2 linked regions of the Mus musculus genome follow. The protein of the gene in region 2 interacts with the protein of the main gene of each other region in a biochemical or structural test. Links are inferred from orthologs where the notes say so. Each region holds a gene or a part of one and is shown on either strand. Other genes may lie near its edges.

Region 1 (6,255 bases), on a different chromosome or scaffold from region 2:
AAAAGAAAAAGAAAGAAATGAGTAGACCATCTGCTTAGCCTGAAAGAGACCCTGTGTTGAGTTGCCAGCATCCCACTTGCCCCTTCTTCCCAGAGTCGCTGATGTGTTTGCTTGGGTAGAATGTATGCACCAGATGACCAGGCACTGGGTCTGCCTAACTTACCACTGTTTGCGTACCTTACAAATAGTACATGTTTACTGAGTATTTGTTGAGAAAAAATGGAACTAATAACGTCTTTTTCTTTTGTTTTTGTTAGCAAGCAAGGACTTAGCACAGACATCTTACTTCATGGCAACCAACAGGTTTATATTTTTATTTATTTTCCTCTTCTGTTTTTGGGTTTGGAATTTGGTTGGGTTGGACTTGTCATCTCTTGAGGGATTTATAGGATCACTTTGTGAACTAGAGACAAAAGACCATAAAAATAACGTTTGTTGTAATGTATTGTAGACAGCACTCTGGAGAATGAATTTTTCTGCAGATTTTACTTTTTTCCTTATATTTGCTTTATACCCTTTAATTAACTAGGGTTTTGTACTTATTTAGCATACATAATTCTATGCATTAACTTTGCTATAAAATGTCCAAGAGCACAACCTGAACATTCATGTAATTTTGGGGGGATTGTTAATTTTCTTCTCCTTTGCCAAAGCAATGGGCACTTAGTCTACAAGGATTTGCTATCTATCTATCTATCTATCTATCTATCTATCTATCTAATTTTTAAAAAGCTGTTAGTATGTAACTTGTTCTGCCCAGTGACCTGCTTGTTCTTGTGTCTGACTCCCATATTGTTTGTTCGGTCATCCCCAGTCACCAAGTGTGAGAAGGTCAGCATTAGTAAGCCAGCCCTGCATACACTGTGTGGTGGCCCAGTCTGAGATCCCAGCACTCAGGACCCAGGCAGGAGAATGAGTGGTTCAGGGTCATCCTCTGGAATACAGCAAGTTCAAAGCCATGCTGAACTGTCTACTAAACACACACAGACAGACAGACAGACAGACAGACAGCAAGTTCAAAGCCATGCTGAACTGTCTACTAAACAGACAGACAGACAGACACACACACACACACACACACACACACGAAGAGGAAAGATGAAGCAAATTTAAAGTAAGAGCCAAGCACCATGGTGCTCCAGTACTGTGATGGGGAGATAGGATTGCTGTGAGTTTGAGGCAGCCAGAGAACGAGATCCGCCTAAACCCAGACAGAATCTTTAAAAGAAAAAAAAAAATCAGGTATATTTGTATTTGAGAGAGCAACTTTTTTTATTTTTCATTTTTATTTTTACATTTTGAGACGGTCTCATTGCTTAAGCCAGCCTTGAACTTCCACTTCCCATGTTTTGGGATCAGGCTTCTGATCCTCCTATGTTGACTTTGATTGTTTTTTCCTTTTGTTTTTGTTTTGAGACAGACAGGGTCACATTAAATAACTCTGGCAGTCTTGAAATTTGCTATGTAGACTAGGCTGGCCTCAAACTCACAGAGACCCAAAGGCCAGCCTTTGTCTCCCAAGGGCTATTAAAGGGGTATGCCTCACCGAGGCTGACTACCCAGCTCCTTTTTTTTCTTTTATTTTTTTTATTTTTGTTTTTTGTTCACTAGTATTCTGTTTACTAAGTGTGTGATACTAGGAAATTTAGAAGTGTTGTTAACCTGTGCAGTATTTTAATAGAAAGTGATATTGAGGTGCTGAGGAGATTAGCCTAGCACATATAGCTCTTCCAGAGGACCTGAGTTCAGATCCCAGTATCTGTTGTGGATGTACACCATCGCCTGTAACTCACGGTGTAGGGGGTCTAACACCTCTGGCCTCCACACCCTCACTGTGCTTACCCCACCACAGACGTGTCCAGGTACTTAGAAGTCAATCTTAGAGAAAGACGACAGGCATGTTGAGTGCTGAGTCAGCACGGGATGGTCTTGCCCTTCTCACTCTCCTCTGGTTTTTGTTTTTGGTTTTTTGGTTTTTTTTTTATATAATGGAGAGTTTTAGTTTAGGGTTGAGAATTGAGGGCTCATGACACTCTCTGTTTCCTTCCCTTTGATGTCAGCCTGCATTTGACCACATTTAGCCTGCAGTACACACCTCCTGTGGTGGCCTGTGTCTGCATCCATCTGGCTTGCAAGTGGTCCAACTGGGAGATCCCAGTCTCAACTGACGGGAAGCACTGGTGGGAGTATGTTGACGCCACTGTGACCTTGGAACTGTTAGATGGTAAGTTTTAGTGTAAGGGACCTTGAAACGCACGTCTTGATTTGTCACATATCTGGCCAAACATGACTTGAAAACAGTGAGTTAGTTGAGGTTTTTCTCTTTTTTATGATATTCTTGTCTCTGAGCGTTTCTTGGATGTTTCATTTGTAGAATTGACACATGAATTTCTACAGATTCTAGAGAAAACTCCAAGCAGGCTGAAACGTATTCGGAATTGGAGGGTAAGACTTAGTGCTGATAAACTTATTCTTTCTTTTAACTGCACCAGTGAATATACCAGAATTGGATATGTGTGCTTGGTTTGGAGTTTCCTTCTTGCTTAACAGTAATTGTGACTTTATAGCATGGATATGAACTAAGATTTCCGTCTTTTTTTTTTTTTTCTTCCTGAGACAGGGTTTCTCTGTGTAGCCCTGGCTGTCCTAGAACTCGTGCTGTAGACCAGGATGGCCTCGAACTCAGAAATCCGCCTGCCCCTGCCTCCCAAGTGCTGGGATTAAAGGTGTGGGCCACCACTGCCCAGCAGGATTTCAGTCTTTAGGATAAAAGACTGTAGGGCAAGATATGGATGGAATTAGAAGGGTTGAGTGTGATTTTTACTTTAAAAATGTTTTAGGGGGTTTTAGGGGGGTCTGCTGGAAAGATAGCTCAGTGGTTAAGAGTGCTGACTGCTCCTTACAAAGGACCTGAGTTCAACTCCCAGCAACCACATGGTGGCTCACAACCATCTGTAATGGGATACGATGCCCTCTTCTGATGTGTCTGAAGACAGCGACAGGGACAGCCCTGGTGGTCCTGGAACTTACTTTGTAGACCAGGCTGGCCTCAAACTCAGAAATCCGTCTGCCTCTGCCTTCGAGTGGAGGCGTGCGCCATCATGCCCGGCTCCTTTTTTCTTTTTAAAAAGATTTATCATTACAGTTGGGCATGGTGCTGCATGTCTTTAATACCAGCACTTGGGAGACAGAGACCTCTGAGAGCTTGAGACCACCTGGGGCTACATATATTGTGACCTGGGGTTTGGGGAGAGATTTATTTTTTGTGTATGAGTGTTTGCCTACATTTATGTGCATGTACTACCTGTGGAGGTCAGAGATGTCAGCTCTTCTGGAACTGGAGTTTTAAGTGGTTGTGAGCTGCTATAGTTGCTGAGAACAGAATCCAGGTCCTCTGCAACAGTAGCAAGTTTCCTTAACTGCTGAGCCATCTCTTCAGCCCAGGGTTTTCTTCTTAAATGGGCTTCAGTCTGGAGTTGTAATGCAAATATTTTAGTCTTGGGAGTAATAGCCATTCCCTTTCCCATCGCATCAGATAGATGAAAAGTCCTCACCTTGCCTAAGGCCCTGCACTCAATCACCAGCACTCAGAAGAAGGAAGAAAGCCTCCGCCCAGCTCTTTTGAGACAGTCTCATGTAGCTCCACCTGGCCTTGAGCCTTGCTGTTAGAGAGGCTGACCTTGGACTTCTGATCCTCTTGCCTTTGCCTCTACCTTTTAAGTGCTGGGATTGCAAGCATGAACCACCATGTATAGAAATTTCCCGTATTTCTTATTAGTTCAGACCAAGTCTCCTGAGTCTGGTGAATTATAGAGAATTGTTGCCTCCAGAAGATTTGAGTTAGAAATGGACTTCAAAGCATGTACTTAATCTCTTATGTTCATACAAATCTCATCAAAGTTTCTAGAATTTAAAAAGGCTAACTGCAGCCTCCAAGTAGTTATACTGAGCTGGGAGTGGTGGCGCACGCCTTTAGTCCCAGCACTTGCGAGGCAGAGGCAGGCGAATTTCTGAGTTCAAGGCCAGCCTGGTCTACAGAGTGAGTTCTAAGACAGCCAGGGCTACACAGAGAAACCCTGTCTCGACAAACCAAAACAAACAAAAAAAGTAGTTATACTGAATGTTTAAGAATGGCTTTATTTTCTGGGTGTGACGATGAATGTCTTTAAGTACTCAAGAGGTAGAGACAGGAGGATCTCTGAGTTTGAGACATGCCTGGTCTTGAACAAAAACCAAAATCCCCACCTCCAGTAAACAAAAAGGAACACAAAGCCACCCAGAAAAGTTCCCCTAATTGACGTTTCCCTGTACTGCCGCTCAGTAAATTGCTTGGCATGAAGGTTTATGTGCTTCGTCCTAGGCGTACCAGGCTGCCATGAAAACCAAGCCAGATGACCGAGGAGCAGATGAAAACACGTCGGAGCAGACAATCCTCAATATGATTTCTCAGACCTCTTCAGACACAACTATCGCAGGATTAATGAGCATGTCAACTGCGTCTACAAGTGCAGTGCCTTCCCTGCCTTCCTCTGAGGAGTCATCGAGCAGTCTAACTAGTGTGGATATGTTGCAGGGCGAGCGGTGGCTGTCTTCCCAACCTCCGTTTAAACTCGAAGCTGCCCAGGGTCATCGGACTAGTGAGAGTTTAGCACTTATTGGCGTTGATCATTCCTTGCAACAGGATGGTTCCAGTGCGTTTGGTTCCCAGAAGCAGGCGAGCAAGAGTGTGCCATCTGCTAAGGTTTCACTTAAGGAGTACCGTGCAAAGCACGCGGAAGAGTTGGCTGCTCAGAAGAGGCAGCTGGAGAACATGGAGGCCAATGTGAAGTCACAGTATGCGTATGCTGCCCAGAATCTCCTGTCTCACGACAGCCATTCTTCAGTTATTCTCAAAATGCCCATTGAGAGCTCAGAAAACCCTGAACGTCCTTTTCTGGATAAGGCTGACAAATCAGCTCTGAAAATGAGACTCCCTGTGGCCAGTGGGGATAAAGCAGTTTCTTCCAAGCCAGAGGAGATAAAGATGCGCATTAAAGTTCACTCTGCAGGGGATAAGCACAATTCCATAGAAGACAGTGTCACCAAGAGCCGCGAGCACAAGGAGAAGCAGAGGACTCACCCGTCTAACCACCACCACCATCACAACCACCACTCACACAGGCACTCTCACTTACAGCTGCCAGCCGGCCCCGTGAGCAAACGCCCAAGTGATCCAAAACACAGCAGCCAGACAAGCACCTTAGCACACAAAACCTACAGCTTGTCCAGTACTTTGTCTTCTTCCAGCTCTACTCGTAAAAGGGGTCCCCCGGAAGAGACTGGGGCAGCAGTATTTGATCATCCAGCCAAGATTGCCAAGAGTACTAAATCTTCCTTGAATTTCCCCTTCCCCCCCCTTCCTACAATGACCCAGTTGCCTGGGCATAGCTCAGACACAAGTGGCCTGCCCTTTTCACAGCCTAGCTGTAAAACTCGAGTTCCTCATATGAAACTGGATAAAGGCCCTCCTGGGGCTAATGGTCACAACGCAACTCAGTCAATAGATTATCAAGACACTGTGAATATGCTCCACTCCCTGCTTAGTGCCCAGGGGGTTCAGCCCACACAGGCCCCTGCATTTGAATTTGTCCACTCTTATGGTGAATATATGAATCCCAGAGCTGGTGCCATCTCCTCCAGATCTGGCACTACAGACAAACCTCGGCCACCACCCCTCCCATCAGAACCCCCTCCACCACTTCCACCTCTTCCTAAGTGAAAAAAAGAAAAAAAAAAAAAAGAGGCAAAAACTTCAAAAACAAAAAACACTTTTTTGTTTTGTTTTTTTGTTTTGACTACTGATATTAGACTACGAAAATTACATCCCTTATGAAATCTGTCACCTAAGGAGTAAATTGCTATTGAGACAAGTGGGCGGGTGGTGGAGGGAGGGCCTCAGTTATTCGATCTGCTGCCTCACATCTACAGTTCGTGCTGGTATTAGAGAGGTGGGATTATGTCGAAGCTGTGAAGGATGAAGAACACACTCTACTCTTGGCCTCTCTTCATCCTAACTAGGTTGATTGGAGTAGTTATCTTCCCTCTTCTTGCCAGAACTAAAATGTGGAGGGCATATCAAGCGGTTGTGGATGCTTTTGGTGTTAAACATATCAGAAGAGAGGAAGTATTTAAACGTCAAATCTTTAAGAGACTTTTAAAAAATAATTTAAAGAAAGTAAGTTATGTTTAGTTTTTTTTATATAATCGGGAGGGAAA
Region 2 (6,255 bases):
GGAACACTGTCTGCTGTTCCAGAGGTCCTGAGTATAGGCACATGGTGGCTCACAGCTATCTAAAATGGGATCTGATGCTCTCTTCTGGCAAGCAGGCGAGTATGCAAAAGAACACTCAGGTATAAAATAAATTAACAAAATCTTTTAAAGAAATGTATATATTGATACAAACGGATGTGTCTTTATTTTTGGTTTTTTGAGACAGGGTTTCTCTGTGCAGCCCTGGCTGTTTGGAACTCACTCTGTAGACCAGGCTGGCCTCCAAAGCAGAAATCCGCCTGCCTCTGCCACCCAAGTGCTGGGATTAGAGGTGTGCGCCACCACTGCCCAGCTATATTATATCTTTTTAAACCCTCCCCCCTTTTTTTCTAAAGATTTATTTATTTGTTTTATGTGAATACACTGTTGCTGTCTTCAGACACTCCAGAAGAGGGCATCAGATCAGCTTACAGATGGTTGTGGTTGCTGGGAATTGAACTCAAGTCCTCTGGAAGCCCAGTCAGTGCTCTTAACAGCTGAGCCACCTCTCCAGCCCTCTAATTGGGTTTTTAAACTTTTTTTGTTTGTTGGTTTGTTTTTTGTTTTTTCGAGACAGGGTTTCTCTGTATAGCCCTGGCTGTCCTGGAGCTCACTTTGTAGACCAGGCTGGCCTTGAACTCAGAAATCCACCTGCCTCTGCCTCCCGAGTGCTGGGATTAAAGGCGTGCGCCACCACGCCCGGCTGGGTTTTAAAACTTTGATTACAGTTCATAGCACAGCTCATCCAGAGGACCTGTGTTTGGTACTCAGTGTCTAGGTCATGTGGATTACAGCTGTCTGTAACTCTGGCTTCAGGGGACCTTACACCTTCTGAGGGCACATGTCTGCACATACCTGCCATTTACTCATAGGCTGGGTGCAGGCACATGTGCAAATAAATATAATAAGCAAAAGTAAAGTAAAAATAGCATACAGAAATACTGGATAAATACGTTATAGCAATGTGGAGATGGGGGAGCCCTGAGGTGGTGAGTTAAAGGTTGATGCTTGGGCAGCAGAATTCGTGGATCCGATTTTAACTGGTAAGGAACGGGGATTAGAATCCAGTTGGTTATTGGCCCGGCAGACCCATAGGATATAGAGAGGCAACCCAGAGGCTGCTGCATGTGGGGGAGGCTCTGTTTCTGGAAAATAGTGGCGAATAGAAGCATCAGCAGTAGAGACAGGAGCTGAAGTCTTGGATGGTAAATGGCCCAGTGAGAGAGGTGTGGGAGAAAGGATAAACACGGCCCTAGACAGAGCCTGGGCCCATGGAAGGTCTGTCCAAAGCTGCTTAAAGGGATGAGGGGAAGCTGTGAATGGTGGTTTATACCTGTACTCCAGTACTTGGGAAACGGGGGGACTGCCACACAGCGAGTTCCAAGGGAGTCTGCATTACTGAATGACCCTGTCTTTCTCTTACACACACACACACACACACACACACACACACACACACACACACACAATAATGGAGCTCAGGGTGAGTAGCAGCTATGTTGATCCTTAGTGTTAGGAAGTGCAAAGGTTGTGCTAGGGACATCCATGGGTATCAGGCACCTGATACATCCTGTGGAGTTAGGAGCTGGACTTTTCAAGAAGCACAGAGATGAGGAACAAGCCACAAACCTGGCATATAATGGCTCTCAGAGCAAGGGATCCAGTGTAAGGATTGATTGGCTCCTGCGGGTTGGTTGGGTGCAAGGGTCTTGGCTATACTGTCACTTGAGGTAGGACAGTAATCAGAGGCATGGTCAGATTGAGACTTTGAGTGCATTGTGGATATGCTTGTGAGACAGAGGGAGAAGGAGCTAGAGATAACGAGCTTTTCTGGATTTGGGGATAGTAAAATCCTGGTGCCTCAACTCTGTTTGATCCCTCTAGGTTGAGGAAGACCAGCGAAGTGCTGCAGGCAGTGAAAAAGAGGAGGAGCCTGAGGAAGAGGAGGAGGAAGAGGAAGAATACGATGAGGAAGAAGAGGAGGAAGATGATGATAGGCCCCCCAAGAAACCACGCCATGGGGGCTTCATTTTAGATGAGGCTGGTATGTCACAAGGCCAGGAAGTATTGTACTTAAAGTATGCACGAGACAGTCTGTGGTTCAATTTCTCTGTGTGTGTGTGTGTGTGTGTGTGTGTGTGTGTGTGTGTGTGTATGTATTGACCTGGCAGTGGTGGCACACACTTTAATTTCCACACTTAGGAGTTGGATGCACGTCGACAAAAAAGAAAGGAAGTGTGGGGATTGACTGTGCCACATAATTACTTGTGGAGCCACATCCTGACACCTAACAGGTGGATTCTAGGCAAATGCTGTGCCATTGAGCCATTCCCCAGCCTTCTTTTTTACTTTTTATTTTGAGACATGGTCTTGCTAAGTTGCTTAGGCTGGCCTTGAACTTGCAGTTTTCTTGCTAGCCTCTCAAGTAGTTGGGGTGGCTATCCTATTTCATGGGACCTGGATAAGAATGCTGGGGATACAGGTGTTTGCCTCCTTGCCAGCTCTGGTCTTAATTTTTTGGAAGGGGTCTGTGGTGTGTTGGGGCAGATGGCCTTCAGAGCTAGGTAGATGTACATTACACATAGCCCTGCCGCATTCTACCAGTGTGTGGTGTCCCTTGGAGAAAGCGCATCACACCTCTCTGAGTCCGGGTCCAGGGCTATGTAGTTCCGGAGTTCTCTGTTCTTCTAGAGGTGTTTCATTCTCTTGGAGCTGCTGCTCTGAGGTCACCTTTCCTCTCTGCTGATCCCATTGGCTTTCCCATTCAGATGTAGATGATGAATATGAAGATGAAGACCAGTGGGAAGATGGAGCTGAAGATATCCTGGAGAAAGGTGTGTGTGGGACCTGCCTGCAAGACGACTCGGGGTGAATCATGCCTGGGAGGGTGTCTTTCTTTTAAGCCCTCTCCCTACCCCATGCCCTGCACCCACCCCAACCCTCACTCTTTTCACCGTGCTTCTTTCTGTCCTTGCCAGAGAGACAGCTTCCCCCAACCCTTTTCCTTTTAGGCCCATGAGTGGGGGGCGGGGACTGTCGGGTGGGTGGTATTATAGGAAGAGGATTTTGGGTATCCCTTTTGTGGGGTGTAGGGTGGGCGGGCTCTGACCCCGATCCCCCCACTTGCTGGGCCAGTGCCCCCTCCCCTGTTACTTTCCGTTTTGTGCGCCTCATACATTTCGGCTTCTCCCACCCACCTGGTGCCTGGCCTTTACTTTTGGTTTTGACCTTCCTGTGTCCCTCCCTCTGCCCCACCCCATTGGTTGATTTCGCTGCTATAATTTGGCTCATACTTTGTCTACCCTGCACACCACTACCACCACCACCACCACCACCACCACCACCACCACTACCACCACCACCTTCTCCTCTTCCTCCGAGTAGAAGAGATTGAAGGTAAGAACTGGGGAAGTGTGGTCTGTGGTCCCATATCCTGTGTGGCCCTGGGGCTCTGATTCACATGGGGTGCAGGGTTAGGCAGTTTGGGGTCGCTGACCTGGGAAGGTGCACATTTCTGTGTCCACAGGTGTAAATATAGTGCATATAGGAGTATGGGTGGGGTGCTCAGGGCATGCTCAGTTGGCGGCTGTGTCAGCAGCCGGCCTATCCCTGAGTGTGTGTGATGAGAAAGCAAGAGGCTGAGGAGGACAGAGGATGGGGGAAGGATGGGGGAGCCTTAGCCATCTCCCCAGGGCCAGGCATGTCCCCTCAACTCCCCAAGCTGGTTCCCGGCCTGACTCCCCTTGTGACTCTGTTTCCAGCCTCCAATATTGATAACGTTGTGCTGGATGAAGACCGCTCTGGGGCTCGTCGTCTGCAGAATCTCTGGAGGTGAGCAACTGAGGCGGCCTGGGGGGGACCTAGCTTCCTTGGACAGATGTGGGGCAGACTGACTTTCCTTCATGTCTGCTTTTCCCCTTGTGTCCCAGGGACCAGAGAGAAGAAGAACTGGGCGAGTATTACATGAAGAAATATGCTAAGTCGTCTGTGGGAGAGACGTAAGTGCCTGGCGGGGGTGGGTGGTCCCTGTGTGGGAAGCAGGCGGGGCTACGGGGACATCCCTTCTTCTCAATGCTCTTCTTTCTCTAGGGTGTATGGAGGGTCTGACGAGCTCTCAGATGACATCACTCAGCAGCAGCTGCTCCCAGGAGTCAAGTAAGACAGTAGGAGGATAGAAATCAGGGTTGGAATCCCATACGGGGTCAAGACACATAGAAGTAGAGGAAGTAAGACTCTTGTGTACGGTTCATGAGGTGTGGTTCCTGGGCCAGAGGGGAAGATAGGTGGTGGTATAGATCATGACTTAGTGAGGAGACAGGTCTGGTAATAAGTTTCCTTGTCTTTCTTATCCTGTGCCATGTAGGGACCCCAACCTGTGGACTGTCAAGTGTAAGGTGTGTATTCTGATCTTGGGCTGCATATGGGGAGGGGCCATATGTCTCTCTGGGTCTCTTGGTCTTTCTGTAGCGCTCTCTCTCTCTCACTCGCTTTTGCCTCTTTATCCCCTTTTCTCATGTCCTTTAGTGCCTTTGTCTTGGAATCCATCTCTCTCCTACTTCACCTTCCTCCATTTACCTTCCCTTGCTTCTCCTGTCTCCTGCCCTCTCCCTGTCAGCTCTCCAACACCTGTCTCTCTTTCCAGATTGGGGAGGAACGAGCCACGGCAATTTCCTTGATGCGGAAATTCATCGCTTACCAGTTCACAGACACAGTAAGTCAAGAAGTGGACTGGTTGTGGGTGAGAAAGGATGGATGGATGGAAGGATATTGCAGGCACTAGGCACCCTTGGGCAAGCAGACCTGTGCAGTGAGCAAGTGAGCAGATGAACTAGAGCAAAAGCGAAGACCACTGCCTGACTCAGGGGCTCTGCCTCCCTGGGACTTGGTTTTTGTTGGTGGTGTTTGTTTTTAGCTGGAGAGATAGCTGACTGATGATGGGAACTGGACTCTTGCCCTTTGGCTGAGCCATCTCTCCAGTCCTTGATTTGCAGTGTATGTATGCACATGTGCAGTGAATAGTGTTGTGCGGTCATGAAGAAGCTAGAATAGCATGTAGCTTCCTATTGGTCAGTGCCTTACTCTCTTGAGGTGGGTCTCACTGAACCTGGAGTTCTTTTTTTCCCCTTTGGCTAGGCTGGCTGGCAAACCTTAGAGATCTTCCTGTCTCATTCCATATCTTCGTACCTGCTGGCTTTTTGCATGTATGCTAAGGATTCAAATACAGGTCTTCATGCTTGCTAAGCAAATGTTCTTACTGACCATGTCGCTAGGGGTGTGTGTGTGTGTGTGTGTGTGTGTGTGTGTGTGTGTGTGTGTGTGTGTGTGTGTGTGTAAATAAATTTAAAAAGTGCGGTAGAGAGATGGCTCAGTTGTTAGGGATGGATATTGTTCTTACAGAGAACTGGAGTTGATTCTCAGCCCTCACATCAGGCTGCTCACAATTACACAACTACCTGTAACGACAGCTCCGTGAGATCTGATCTCTCTGGTCTCAGGCACATACACAGATACATATGTACACATAATTAATCATAAAAATATTTTTTTTTTAGATTTATTTATTTATTATATGTAAGTACACTATAGCTGTCTTCAGACACTCCAGAAGAGGGAGTCAGATCTCTTTACGGATGGTTGTGAACCACCATGTGGTTGCTGGGATTTGAACTCTGGACCTTTGGAAGAGTAGTCTGGTGCTCTTAACCGCTGAGCCATCTCACCAGCCCCCCATAAAAATATTTTTAAAAACACACAAAAAAGTCTTTTAGCCAGATATGGTAGCCCATACCTGACATTAGCACTTGGTAGATTATAGCAGGAGGATCAAGAGTTCAAGGCCAACTTGGGCTACACAAGAAACTGTCTCAGAAAACAAAAGGATTAGAGTAGTAATGTCCTTGCCGAGCGCGAGGTCCCAGGCTTGGTCTTCAGCACTGCGTAAGACCAGACACAGTTATGATGATAGATAGAGATCTGTAATCTTAGCACTTGGGAGGTGGAGGCAGGAGAAACAGGTCATCCTTGGCTACATACCACTTTCTAGGCCAGCCTGGGCTGTGAAACCCTATTTTAAAACACAGTCAGGGTTTAGGGCGATAATTCAGTTGATAAAAATGTTTACTGTGCAAGAATTAAGATCTGAGTTCAGTCTTTAGTATCCATGTACAAAGGCTGGGGATGGTAGTGCGTGCTTGTAACTCCAGTGCTAGCCGATCCCTGAGGCTCTCTGACCAGTTT

What was found. The genes of interacting proteins can lie anywhere in the genome.
Region 1: the proteins of Supt5 (region 2) and Ccnt1 form a complex in vitro, tested with the Homo sapiens proteins (2 studies listed by BioGRID, with this or other methods). The link is inferred for Mus musculus from reciprocal best matches to the Homo sapiens genes SUPT5H and CCNT1.

The regions. Positions count from the first base shown.
Region 1 is NC_000081.6:98,542,714-98,548,968, reverse strand, and holds part of Ccnt1 (cyclin-T1), read left to right. Parts: intron 1-257; coding exon 258-303; intron 304-2,060; coding exon 2,061-2,224; intron 2,225-2,374; coding exon 2,375-2,445; intron 2,446-4,360; coding exon 4,361-5,758; 3' UTR 5,759-6,255. UniProt on the Homo sapiens protein: Regulatory subunit of the cyclin-dependent kinase pair (CDK9/cyclin-T1) complex, also called positive transcription elongation factor B (P-TEFb), which facilitates the transition from abortive to productive elongation by phosphorylating the CTD (C-terminal domain) of the large subunit of RNA polymerase II (RNA Pol II).
Region 2 is NC_000073.6:28,327,177-28,333,431, reverse strand, and holds part of Supt5 (transcription elongation factor SPT5), read left to right. Parts: intron 1-1,902; coding exon 1,903-2,062; intron 2,063-2,786; coding exon 2,787-2,852; intron 2,853-3,402; coding exon 3,403-3,414; intron 3,415-3,779; coding exon 3,780-3,849; intron 3,850-3,947; coding exon 3,948-4,016; intron 4,017-4,107; coding exon 4,108-4,173; intron 4,174-4,381; coding exon 4,382-4,412; intron 4,413-4,660; coding exon 4,661-4,729; intron 4,730-6,255. UniProt on the Homo sapiens protein: Component of the DRB sensitivity-inducing factor complex (DSIF complex), which regulates mRNA processing and transcription elongation by RNA polymerase II.